Arabidopsis thaliana: one gene and its partners. The protein of the gene in region 3 interacts with the protein of the main gene of each other region in a pairwise test. Each region holds a gene or a part of one and is shown on either strand. Other genes may lie near its edges.

Evidence for each region.
Region 1: the proteins of AT5G07580 (region 3) and SRS7 interact in a two-hybrid assay, tested with the Arabidopsis thaliana proteins (one large-scale study listed by BioGRID).
Region 2: the proteins of AT5G07580 (region 3) and SAP interact in a two-hybrid assay, tested with the Arabidopsis thaliana proteins (one large-scale study listed by BioGRID).

What each region holds. Positions count from the first base shown.
Region 1 is NC_003070.9:6,837,609-6,842,068, forward strand, and holds SRS7 (SHI-related sequence 7), read right to left. Parts: upstream 2,706-4,460; 5' UTR 2,224-2,705; coding exon 1,575-2,223; intron 1,181-1,574; coding exon 792-1,180; 3' UTR 512-791; downstream 1-511. UniProt on the Arabidopsis thaliana protein: Transcription activator that binds DNA on 5'-ACTCTAC-3' and promotes auxin homeostasis-regulating gene expression (e.g. YUC genes), as well as genes affecting stamen development, cell expansion and timing of flowering.
Region 2 is NC_003076.8:13,935,575-13,942,424, forward strand, and holds SAP (Transducin/WD40 repeat-like superfamily protein), read right to left. Parts: upstream 5,294-6,850; 5' UTR 5,213-5,293; coding exon 5,006-5,212; intron 2,017-5,005; coding exon 883-2,016; 3' UTR 512-882; downstream 1-511. UniProt on the Arabidopsis thaliana protein: Transcriptional regulator involved in the specification of floral identity. Acts as A class cadastral protein by repressing the C class floral homeotic gene AGAMOUS in the external flower organs in association with APETALA2 and other repressors.
Region 3 is NC_003076.8:2,397,862-2,400,870, reverse strand, and holds AT5G07580 (ethylene-responsive transcription factor), read right to left. Parts: upstream 1,146-3,009; coding exon 522-1,145; downstream 1-521.

The DNA.
Region 1 (4,460 bases), on a different chromosome or scaffold from region 3:
AATTGATACAAGCGTTGAAGGTCTTTTTGTGATGAAATTTGGGAGTAACCTACTCTCTTGTTAAGAAAAATATCGGTAACAAATATTTTTTTTAATATTACATAAATGTAAACATAACAAATTATTCGTAAACTATGATGATGGTTTCCACTGTTTTACTGCGGAAATTGGATTGGGTAACAGAAAGTTTTTCTCTTATATATAAATAGATTTGAAATTGTTTGCTCAATGGAACACGAAACCTAGTAAAGTTCCTGTTTAGATCCGGCAAGCAAACGGATAAACTGGGAAAAAGTAGCTTCGAGTTCATCACCAGCCAGAAAGCTAATTCACTATCAAACCCAACCCTATTTGTATACAGAAGAAAATTAGAATATATTTTTTAAACCCTATTTTATATAGAAGACCAAACTTTTTGAAAATAATTCAGACATATTCGAAAGAAAAAAAAAAAAAAAGAAGTTATGTTGATCACATTGGGAAGATCAAACATTAAAGTAAACAAACAGAAGATCAAAATTTGAAACTCTGACATTAATTTAATATCTCGTTTATCCCCAAAAAAAACTTAATGATAATATCTCATTTATCTCTAAAACGTACGATGTGCATGTTAATCAGTACACAAACCCTAGCTAGGTACGAACAGTCACCATATTGTCCGACAACAATAAAAATACTCAAATAAATTATCTCTCGTACTCGTAGATAGATCTCTGGTAGTTATAAGAGTAGTTATAATTAATCACAAACGTAATTTAAAAGATTTAACATCTTCAGATGTTTTAATCTCAACACCTAGAAGATGCAAAGAAAGGCGTACCACCGGCGACAAAGGCGTTGAACGGAGTTGCCACCGCAGTGTAAAGGGAAGAAGGGTCAATAGATCCGTTGTTAGTGTTAACGGCGGTCACGGCGTTTGTAGTTGCGGCTGAAGGAGTTGAGTCCATGAGGTTAAGATGGTGTTGATGAGAGGTTTCGCCATTGAGGCTTGAGCTGTAACGGTGGTGATCTGACGATGGACCTTGGTCGTAGAGAATGCCTTTGAACACGTGTCCTCCAATGCTAACAGCCGTTTGATAAGCATACTCTTCGTCTTCATCGTCGATTGAGCTGACTCTCATACACCGGAAAACAGCCGGGGAACTTATCTCCGGTGGTAAGTGACTAGTCTCTAACCCTAATTTCATAAAACCAAAGAATTACTATAAAATTCAAAAACGTTTTGGTTCGTGAATCCAATAATCAAAATCTTTAAAACACATGACATAATTAACCATTGTTTATTTTTTACATCATATATTGAATAAAAATCGACTAAACCCTTTGTGTCGTCAGGTTTACCATAGAACAGTGACTAAAATCATTTTGTTGGACATTTATTCACAATCAAAATCAAACAGCAAAAAGAAAGGAGCAAAATCCGGTGGACATATATTCACAATCAAATCATATTGTTGCTTTCTTGACAAAACATTCATAACCAGATCTTCACATAAATTTGTTTTTAAATCCTTTCTAGATTTGTTGAAATTTTTTCTCTATGTTAATTAATTGAAAACTCATCGTCATACCTGAAGAACTAGCATTAACCACACGGGTGCAAGCAAGAGCCGAGCCACCACCACAACTGTCATTTTTCTCGTCCTCTTTGTCATCATCATCGTCATCCCCACCACCCCTTGAGTTAGCGTCTCTTATACGCTTAGCTGGCAAAACAGCTAACTGAGCCTGTCTCTCACGGCGTTTAGCAGCCGAGACCCACGTGCTCTTCACGTGTGTTTGGCAATCAAACCCTCGGCTCTTACAACAAGTACGACATCTCATATGAGGACAATCTTTCTTGGCTTGATTCCCACAGTCTTGGCAATTCATGTTCCCTTGTCTCGTTACCGTAAACCCTCCCGTTGAGGATCTCACCGGCTCATGATCGGAGACGACGTTGAAGTACAAACTCCGATTAGTACTCCGGTTATTGTTTATGTTACCACCACTCGGGACCATACCAAAAGAGTAGAGATTTGTTGGAGCAGCCGCATGATTTTGTTGCTGTTGTTGTTGAAAATATTGAGGAGGGAAAATCTCAAAACCCTTGTTGTTGTTGTAGATCTCGTCTTTGTATAGATAGAGATAATTGTTGCTCTTGTCTTCATTATGATCCTTTTCTTGATGATGATCTTGTTTGTTGTGATCTCTCCCTCCTAGATAGAACAATCCAGCCATTTTTTTCTACTTCCCCAACACAAAACACAAACAAAAAGAAAGAAAGAGGATTTATGAGACTTTTTTGGGGTTTGTGGATGAATTATTTTTGGGGATTTGTGTTCACCTTTTTCTTTTGCTCTCTATCACATTAATTTCTAGCTAGGCTTGGAGATGTGTTTGGTATTTAAAAGGAGCAGATTTGGGAGCAGATGAGAGAGTAATGATGGTGAGGAAATTTAAGAAACTGCTGCAAACGCCGCCAAGGTTTATTGCTTTCCTTCTTTTCTCTTCATCATTTAAGACATTGTCGATCTGTCATCAAGAACTCAAGCAATTTACTGCTACTACTGCTGGTTTTCTCTGTGGGTGAGAGAGAGAGAGAGAGAGAAATAGAGAGATAGAGAGAGAGAAAGAGAAGGAGAGTAAAGAGATGGAGAGTACTATGAAGATCTTCTTCTATGGGGCACTTTCTCTACAGTTGTCTTCCAGTTTCAATGAATCCCCATCACAATAAATATCACCAATTTTGATATCTATTATAAAATTAAAAATAAAATAAATAATATATATTGTATGTTTTGTTTTCTTGTTTCGGAACTATTATCATCAGAGGCTATGATTAAGTAAATGTCTTCTAGAGTGATTTGAAACTAATTAATTATTCCTAAAGTTATTAAAAAAAATCAGCATGAGAATTCTCCAAGAAAATCAAAATTTATCATATAATACGTTCTATATATATATATATATATATGTGTGTGATTTTATTAGTTCTTGTATGTCTTAGCAGAAATTAAATTATTTTAGAGAGTCAAATTTATCAAATAAATATATCAATCACGTCATCAAAATTAGAAAGAAAAAAAAAAAAAGAATCAGAGGTTACCAGGATAAAAAAAAAATTGTGATTTGGCGTGTTAAAGACCGCCCTTGTGTGGATTTTACCGGATCACTAGTTTTTGCCGAAGTTTTTGCATGTTTAGTTCTAGTGGGTGAAAGAAAAATCGCTTACCAAACGAACTATAGTTTAGTCGTATTCAAGTCGCATGTTTAAAGGTCCGACCGGCCGGATCACTCCGAAATCAAAACACTGGTTAGATTTAGAACTACTTAAAAAATGTTGCCGCTTAATCAGATGGTGTGATTAGCTAGACGGTCATTTGACATAATTTTACCTATGTGATGGAATGTTGATTTTTCAAAAGGTCCCTCGTGCGGTAATATTTTAATATTTAATTACGTCTTTAGCATCTTTTATTTTTGTCGGCAATTGCTTCATTTGGCTTAATCAAAGATAAGACACCACAAAAATACTATTTGGCTGAAATAAAATCTTACAAAGATTTGAAATAATTAGATCATTTTGGAAAGTTATCAGTTACTATTACTTTCACATGTTTTCTTTCATTATTTTGCAAATCACTAAATTGGATCGTAAACAATTATATATTGTGCTGTTGTATGAGAATTAAGTTATTTCAAACCTTATCCAACAGTCTCTATATTGCCGTTCATGAGATTAATGTGAACATAATAACAGTATAAGACTATAGCTGAGTTTCATAATTGAAACTTTAACAAGTGCTGTGAATATGCGGTTAAACAAAGTAATTATATAAATGTGCAATTTTTAATGAATACTTGCTTGACAGCAAACCCTATATAGTCTAAGTTTTAGGTCACGAGTAATAATTATCAACTAACGGATGGATAGGATCCATTTCGTTTTCCAACCAAACTACTCCATGAGATAGTTTAAAGGTTTTATAATTATAAAAATCATATATTTGTATCTGATTCAAAATTCATTAGATCTTTTATTGAGATACCTCTTATAAATCCGTGGTATAGTTAAGTAATTCCTGACCATATCATAGTCTATAAACTAAAGGAGAAAAGGTTAAACAGACACCTTTTAATTGGCGTGAGAGTGAGACCAAACAAGCAAATCCACTCCAGGGACTTTGATCACATGGAACCGCGTGATTTAGCGGCGCAATTTGATGTTAATTAGTATATAGCGTCATTTGGTATTTGATAAGACCAAAATCGACAAAATTTTAAGTCAAAAGTCAATAGTGAACTACATTCAAATGGTATATCTGACCCCCAAGAAAAAAAAAATCATGGATAGCTATTGTTAAATCTTCCTTGCTTGTATACAAAAATCGGTCTCAATAAATATATTACAATCAACGAGAAAATCAGATGCAAAACTAATTGACGTAACCCAGATTCATGAGTCATGACTATAC
Region 2 (6,850 bases), about 12 Mb from region 3:
AAATAACATGTTTTAGATCCTAACTGTTTGTGTTCTTATGTGATGGTTTTTTAGGGACCGGTAGGTACAACGTGACTCATTCTTGTGAGAATCCAAGTTTTGAACTATGATTTAAAGTCACAATATATGGTTACCATCTCAAATTTTATGTAGAGTGCAACTTTTTCTTGAATTGGCGTGTGTTTGGTCTTCTCGAACTTGCTTCTAACGCTATTTCAAACTTGGAAAATTTTGATTTTCACTCTTTATCATCTTGTTTGTTCAATGAGATTAGCCGTTTTGTTTGTATATTGGGTGTGTCCAATTATGCTCTTTTCTTATGTTATTGTTTATGAATAACTTGTTGAACATTTTACTTATCAATTCACTCCAATATATCCTAAAATTGGGATATGCTCAAATCACATCTAGATCTCATGATTCATATTTCTATACCATTCTTTCGATTTTGATCTTGTTTCTGTCTACACCTCCTGTAAAATATATTTTTTACACAAAATGTATTTAAAACCCATTATACAAAATAATAAACTCCAGTAAAGTGAAGAATTACAAGTAGAAGAAAAAAAAAAGACATCTCGTACAAAGTCAGAATTGAGAGAGCCCTAAACACAAGGAAAAAAACAAGAACAACAAGAAAAAGTCCACTTTGTTTGGTTTTAGACAAAAACAGTAACTTACTTTTTTGGTCAAACTCTGTAGAAAGAATCAATCTCCCTTGTAAATCTCACCCTCCTGTCACCATCTTCCCTCCGTCACTTTCCCAATTTAATTTATAATCAGAAACCCTACATATACACCTAGGTTTAGGGTTTCGCTTTTTCAGAGAAAAATAGTTTCTTTTTCTTCAAGTTAAAAAAAAAAAATTATTAATCTGGTACGCTACAGTGCACCGAAATCCCATAGATGTATAATACTCTGAGCCGTTGATGAAGCTGACGCAACCGCCACATGTCTATCATCGGCAACAATGGCGTCAACTTCTCCTACTCTCTCCCTAATACTGTACAGATACTCTCCTCTCTCTACCTCCCACACGCGCATTATACCACCTGCGCACATTAGCGCGTGCAGTCTATTAACACAACCCATTACTCTTCTCTGCGCCGCTCCACTAACACGGAACTCACACACCGTTTGTTGCGTGTTCACCCTTCGCACGCTAGCGTTTCCTCTACTGTCCAATCTAACGTACGCTTCGTCGTTGGCATCGAAGCCTGTCACTATTAGTCCTCTACGTTGCTCTTCGTCTTCTCCGATGATCACTCCTTGGTTTCTTAGATCGATCACCATGATTCTCCATCTCGTGCATGCTACCGCCGTCTCGTTACCGGAGATTCTGAGACGGCCAAGGGACGTTGTTAGCTCTGTTAACGTGTGCCATCCCATGACAGCTTCAGGGTCGGTGAGTGTACCACCGACGAATGTTGTCTCTTCGCTGTTACAGTCCCATATGTGAAAGGCACGACCTGGCACACCCGCGAAAAGACCGACCCACCAACGTCCACAGCCAGTGAAATCTACCAACGCACCGTCGTTAACTATATCTCCTGCGTAAGCCGTGCGTGTGTGACCAACACCGTCTATTTCCGCCACGTGGATGTCTCCGTCCATCGTAGCGAACGTGAGCCTTGAGTCGGAGATAACAATGCCTGAGACGGCTCGTGAGAATCTACCAAAGCGGTCACGTAGAGGTGGCCGTAAGGTCCTGACGTGGAGTCGGTTGTTTAAAAGAAAAAGCCGGACGGTTCCGTCGGCGAACCCTGCGGCTAAGTAGAGGTCTGAGAGGGTGAGACAACGGCAAGAGAGACTATCAGGCTCGTCCACATCAGACGGGTCAAATTGGAGAGTGAAGTAGGTGTGAGTACGCGTCCGGAAGTTTCTAGCCGTCCGATGACGGTAGATGAACTCGTCCCGCCACGTGTCGTGCATCAAATGTGTTCTTGCCCAAACTTGGCGAGATAGTAGTTGCCATAGATGGTCGGAGCGAGAGACAGCGTGCCACGTGGTGCAAACCTGCGATTAAGAAAAATTATTATAAGTTTTAACAAATATTATAATTAGTAGCTTAATTAATAAATGTATAAATAAGGGAGAGAGTAAAAAAAGACATAGAAAGAAGATAAGTAGGCCTGCAACGAAGCATGAAAGACTCTATATATAGGGACTAGGAAGATGGAAAGACAACGACAGACTCAGACACAAGCTCTGCGTAATATTTGTCTTACTCATCGAAACACACAACTCATTTTTATAAAAATCTATTTTATGACATATGTTCAATTGACGGGACTAATCAATCTCTGGAAGCTATAGATAGAGATATAACAACAGAAGCCCTAGTGTAAAAGGAATAATGAGAGGAAGCCCTAGTCCCATGTCAAAAGAACAAAAAACAAATCAATGTGACAATAATACAAAACAGATGATATGTTAATTTATTAGGACAGATGAGAAGACTTTAAATGAGTTAAGCTGAACATGAGATTCCGACTTTGCCAACAAGCGTGCCCTTCTCTCTTTCATTTCCAAGAAAGGATAGCTTTTAAGCCTTTGGTCTTGTTAAAAGTAGAGCTTCCCATAAATACACAAATATTACACTTATATATAGTAGATGTTTCTCTGTCTCTCTCATCCCTCTCCAACAATCCGTGGACCTACATTCTCTACATTTACGTTTATATTGTTATTTATTGTACATCTTTATTCCTCATTAAACGCAAAGTAATGTATTTGACTTCGTACTCTAGCTCTATAGTACAACCTAAAATCAAATATTTCGAATTCTATACGAAAAGAAAAGATATCTTGTCAAACCAAAGGTTTAATGTCTATTAGTCAGATAATCATTATAAAAAAAGAATAATCTAGGCACTAGGGCACGAAATGTAACATAAAATAGATTAGTACAACAAATAACATATGATGGAATGGCAAATCCTATTTATTATTATGCAAATTACCAATCACATCAATATGATATACTTCAAATAAGAAGGGAAAGAAAGTAGTTCAAATATTCCTGAGTTCTAAGATGACCAGATTCAGAATATCACTTTTGTATTTTAATGTGTGATATATCAAATGTAAGAACATAGTATATAATCTATAGACACCACTGCACGTGCTCTAAGAGACCCTTAACATTGGGTTCCATGTGCTTTTCGGCATATGTATGCCCATAATGTCGTCTCTTTTGACTGAAAAAAATTAAGGAAAGAAAAAAAAAAGATAAAAACCCACTTCAATGGAAAAGATGAATCGAGTCAGGAAAAAAGATAATTCCATGATCAATTTCAAAGTAAAAAACAACAATGAAAACTCTAGACTTATAGCCTTAATTCTCTGACAAAAGTGTTATGCTGTAACTACACTGCAGTTTCTTAAAATTTTAGGGCAAATTTGAAAATTCAATTAATTAGAAAATATTATGGGATTTAATAATGATTTAGAATTATCATGTATACATAGAGAAGTGAGATAAAATAAGAGAATGAGAAGTTGTCAGAAGCTCTGCATGCATTACTCAGTGGATCATAATATTGGCAGAGAAAAAAATAACAAAAGCAGGACGCAAAAAATGTACATATGTACTTATATACTATTCCTCGTTACTATATATGAGAAAAATCTTCAGCATAATATATATATGTATTATTTGTTTTTTTATGAACAAAAGAAAAAACAGCTATTTTCATATATAACATAGGATTATTAAAAAGAATAATATGAATGCCTGATATAATACATGGATCATATATCTGTTGATGAATAGAGTTTTCATGTATGTAGAAAATAACCTAATGTGGTAATATAGGACTAACATTGGCAAGGCAAAAAGACAGGACCTTACTTAGGTTTCTTTTCATTCTCTTTTTAGATGTTGTTAAATGTGCAACGACATTTTCTAGTTTTATGAGTCTGTCGTGAGAGGTCACTTTCTATTATTATAATTTTAAAACAATTAGCAGATAAATACCGTTATAATTATAATTCTAAAAAATATTAAATCTATTGGGCATTGGACTAAAGACTGTGCCTAATGTCTATCAACCAATATTTGGAGACAAGAAAGTGTTTAATTTGATTATTATTGTAAGAACTTTTGAGTCAAAAAGTGGATTTCTTGATCTTAAAAAAGGGCTTTCTACATGCCAAGAAAGGAAGATTTAAAGCCAATAAAATAAAATAAAACCTTGATTTTGTGCCCTAAGGGATCCAATTCATAATATAATATTAATATTAGAGTTACTATGCCCAAATGTTGTACAAAGATTACACAAACGAGATGGGGTTGTATGGTCTCCTTAGAGGATCCAAAAATAGACATTAAAAGGTATCAAAAGTAGACGAGAGAACAATGAAAAAGAAATAAACTTATTGGGTAAAAATGGAAGACAAAAAGTTTCTAAATACATAAAAGAAAAACAAAGTCCCCAAACTATATGATATGTGAAAGAGACATCAAATTAATGTCGTCTTGTTAGACATAAAAGTTGGACTTGGACCCATCATAGAAACACAGAAAGGGCGGTTACCTTTCCAAAGGTCAGTTTTTTTTTTTTTTTGTCTCTTCAGAATCCCAACCTTACAAACTAATATCACATTCAATCGAATTGAAGTAACATCATCACTTAATTATGATCTAAAGAGTAAGAATTCGTTATACCAAAAAGAATTAGAACGGCAGAATCAAATCTAAGCTTAGAAACAACTAAAGTACAAGACACTTGAAACAAGCAGTACATTTGACTAGACCAAGATTGTGTCCCTCCACTTAAGTTATTATAGACCCACGACTACTTTGACTTTGTTTTGTCTGCATAAGATCTATGTCTCACTATTTTCAAGTTCAAATATAAGCTAATAAACGAATTCAGATAGTGTAACGAAAATATTACTTTACTACCTGAAGTACATATATATATAGAGAGACACGAGATAATTGATGTGTCTCGACCGTTACAAAACTAAAAGAAGGTATTCAAAGAACGTTAGAACTGACCCGAAAAACGTTGGCAAGAGCCGGAGCTGCGGCGAGGAGGCCGGCGGATGTGGAAGCGTTAACGGCAACTTGAACGGCGAGAGATTCAAGAAAAGGCTCCGGCCAAACATCGTTGGCTCCGCGGCGAGGGCGGGATGGAGATGGGGCCTCGAAAACGCCGCCGCTTCCACCGGCTCCGTTGTCGGAAGAAGAGGAGGAGGTAGACATGAGACGAGAGGGGTTATAAGAGGAACAGGGGAAGAAGAAGAAGCGGAGAGAGGAGAAAGAATGGTGGGGGAGAGAGGAAACAAAGGACAAAAAGTGTAGATAAAGACATACTTCTCCGAGGTGGGGGACCCAGGTTGTGAAGGTATGTTTTTTTCCTATTTTTATTTTCTTTTGTCAAGATTTGTTATTATTTGTTTTTGTTTATTCTTAATAGATGCAGATTTGTTTGTGAAATAGCTTCAATTTTATATTTTTTAGGAAAAGTATTGGTTCAGTATGGTGACATATTTCAAAATTTCTTTCTTTTGATATGCAGATTTTGAATTATAATGGCAATATAACAGCTATATTATTATAAATCACTAGATTTATATTTTGACGATTTTTTATATTTAAAATAGTGTTATATATCATTAAGAATTCAACAATATATTTGCTAAGTTTATTTCCTTCCGCGAACATTAGTAAATTTTTTGTATATGGTAAACTATTGGCTAAACACAAATATTTGTAGATCGATCCATTTTAAAAATGAGAAATAAAATAATATGTATACGCAAAAAATTTGTCAGAGAGATCAAACTCGTAGCACCAAATCTCGACTTTCATACCAGTAGTAAAAACTTTTAAAGCATAGTTTAACATATTTTTTTTTCCCAACATACTATTGTCATTATAAGTAAATAATTTTTGGAAATCTGGTTAAGCATATTCTTATCATTACAATCCTCAAACCTAGAATTCGCCATATTCTGTCATCACAAAACTTAACCCTACTTTTTCTCATATTGCAGCTATCACGATCCTCAAAACCACGGTTCATCGTGAACTTTAGTCCAAACTCATCACAAACCAACACATGAGCATGCGATGCTTTTAAGTTTATTCCTCAATCTAAATATAGAAATATTTACATTTTCTGAAAATTATTCATATATATAGTGCTTTTATATAATTACAATTAACATTTTTGATTAGTATTTTTTAGTTAAAACATTTTTATTCTTTTTTAATTAAAAATAATTAACGAAATAATGATGAATCACGTTATTAAGAGAGAAAAAAAAATAAAGCCACATTATTAACGTCACTAAGAGGAACATTTTGGTTTTCCTCCCAGACATTGTTCATCTTGGGAAAAAAAAATGTCTTCTCTTTTACTAGGTGTTTATCCGAAAACGAAGAAAACCTATTTCTCGTGGCTATTCTCTCTTTCTCTCGTCTCTTCCGCCCGAAACTTTTAACGTCGTTGTCATCGAGTCACATTTCGTCTCAACTCAACTTGTTTCGATATGTGTCAAATCTTTATTTCGATTTTTCCGACAATAATCAGACATCTAAGTTCAATAGCAAGTGATTCCCATGATTAAAACCATTTTCTAAAACCACTGTTATGATATTGATGGTTTTTATCGACGCTTATTACGGCTGATTTTTGCCGTCGATTTACATATGGTGGCTGATTTGTTATTTCTATTCGATTTGATGGCTGAGTTATTGTATGCTTTAGGACTGATTTATGATTTATTAATGCATATGTGGTTGAGTTTGTTTTGTGTTGTGGCTTGGTTACTGTATGTTTTATGACTGATTTATGATTTATCAATGCATATGTGGCTAGGTTTGTTTTATGTTGTG
Region 3 (3,009 bases):
CTCTGTAGCTTGTGGTCCAGTTCCTTTATCACTGAGTGTTGACTTGTTTATTCTGCATTTGCAAGTTGTGCATCTCTCTTTCAAGTCTCTGTAGCTTGTGGTCCAGTTCCTTTATCACTGAGTGTTGACTTGTACCTAACCTATGAAGACAAACATTGCTGCTAGCCTGCTACATTCATGTAACTTGCTCATCTTGATTCACTTCCCCTTCTCCTCTTGGTACACTCACTTTTTGTAGCTGTTTTAGTGAAGTTTCTATGTGTGAGATTGAGAACTTGATTGTTTCATAAACCATTGACTAATGGATTACAACATCTAATAACTAGTTAGGTTGTTTAGAGACCTGGAAACTGAATAACTTTCTTGGAAATAAGAAGATGTTTCTAAATCTTAGGGACATGAAGAAACAGAACATCCATACACATTTGTTGCAACTTGCAAGCACACTAAACCTACACAATTCGTTTCCTCTGTACAATTACTTTATACAACTTAAGGAAACTGCTCACACTCTTAATATGCTAAAATGCATCACAGGAAGATGAAGATGAATTGCTCTGAGTTCTTTGAAGCTCTTCATGCACATCACTTCTCTTCCTTTTCCTTCCTGAATTCGCTGGAGCTTCATATTTCCCGGCGTCAAGAGGGAAGTTGAGCACGGCTTTTCTTCCCCGGAGCTTGAAAGCTGCACAGTCATAGGCTCTTGCAGCATCAACATCACTCTCAAATGTTCCTAGCCAGATTCTTGATCCTTTCTTTGCTGGATCTCGAATCTCTGCTGCAAATTTCCCCCACGGCCTTCGCCTCACTCCTCGGTAATGTCTAGCATCTACTTCTTCTTCGAACCTCTCTGCCTTTTTCACACTCTGATCAGTCTCATATGTTGATGACGATGAATTCAGCTCTGGTGATGATGATGATGATGATTCCCCTTCCACTTGCAAGAACTCGTTGACGAAAGAATCCGGATCAAGAACTGGAGAATCAGGTTCTTGTTTAGGAACGTGTGGTTCTATACACCAAAGTCCTGAGACAAAAGAAGCATCGAAGTCAAAATCTCCCATGAAACCATCACAAACCAACAAGTCTTCTAAGAGATGGCTCTGTATAGCTTCCAAATCAGAGCTTTCCTCAAAACTCGCCATTTTTACGAAAGAGAGAAAGAATCTGCAAGTGATGATGGAACAAAAGCTGTGGATGTTTTGGTTCTTATATAAAAGAGGGAAAGAGAAGAGGAAGGAGACAAGAAGGTAATCACAAGATTTTAGCAGCCATGGATGGGGTAGGGACACAAAAAAAAAGCTATGGTTTTGTCGCTCTCTTAGTGGTTTTAGAGATGGGGTCATGAGTCTGTGATCAATTAATACAAATTTATGAAGACAACGTCCAACTTTTTGAAAGGACCTTCCTTCACCCAAGTTGTTGTGTGATGTGACACTTCACACTGCACAAAACTGTAATCAAAAGCTAAGCTTTTTTCTTTCTTTTTTACATTTTGGTTCTAACGATGAATCTTCTCATATGATTTATGCTCAACTTGTCTTTTACCTTTGATGCTGACTACTAAAAACCATTTGATTCTCAACGGCACTGCTTTTTTATTTCTTTTTTGCTAAACATCCCATTATTGTTTTTGTTTTTATTCGCTATTTATAATTATTGGTATTATGCATAATGACGAAATTTCACAGAATCAAATTTTTACATAGTCATTCTGCCATTCTGTAGAATAATAAATGACAAATAAATTGGTTTTTTTTTTTCTTTCTTTCTTTCACTTCCACTCTTTTACTTTCTATTTAAAGATAAGCCATTTAGTCTATGTGTTTCCACATAAAAACAATCTCTGCATATGAAGAGATGTCATTAAAAAATCAAAATTTGAGTGTAACTCTAAGCATTTACGTAGGTGGATTTGATTTTTTGATGCTTTAACTAGGGTTATTTGATCTATTGATATCATAAGGATTTCTAACCAACTTTACAACTTTATCTCGAAACTCTGATACGACTAGGTCGAATAATCTGGATTATTTGTACATCAAATAACTTTTTAACATACGTGAATTAGACTCGAATGAAAAAAATGTATCGAGAAAATAATGAAAAATCGAATAATATGCCGACTTTCTCGTAAACCATTTCTGATCAAACAACGTCCGATTAAATAATCGTTGTTTTTTTTGGATACTAATCTCAAAAGACTTTTCTATTTTCATACCCAAAAAAAAAAAAAAAATTATATGAAAAGCTTCCTAATGGATAAATTTTAAAAGAGGAAAGACAGCTCAATCAAGTTGTATTCCTGGTAGGCCTCTCCTGGTGGGAAATGATTTGAAGCAACTTGATTTTTTGGATTCTTAATTAATTTTTAGGGCTCCACAACAGTTAAACCTAATCCACCCTCTTTTTGCATAAATAATAATATGAACATAGATTTGTCCAAAATAATAATAGTAATCTCTATAATAATGTGAACATAGATTATGATTAACTTGGATGTCTTTGCGCCATCATCCATTATTGGTTGTCAATGATATGCTAATCACTTTTATGCTTACCGAGTCTGTTAGTTTTAACTAGTTTCAGATAAAAAGTTTACCGGCGAACATTTCACCTGTATTTTGCATTCAGCTAACAGTTGTGAAAATTCAAAATTGTGAACTTTCCTCCTATCAGAAAAATATGATCCATCCATAATCTATGCGTAAGAAAATAAATTATTTAAGGATTTTGATATACATAGCAAACGAAGTATTTTTTTTTTTGTTTTTGTACTAATAAACAAAAGATCGGAAACATCAAACAGAAGAGACTGTTCTATTTCAACCACCAACATTATTCAGTATGAATTGAATTGTATCAAGTGACTCATCTCGCACATACTACTACAGCTACTGAACCTTTAATAACAATATTAAATGCATTGCTTTAGTTACTTTGTTTGTGTAAGTTTGATGAATTTCTTGTATTTGGAAATCGGATAACGAAAATTCTTCTCTTTGGTCT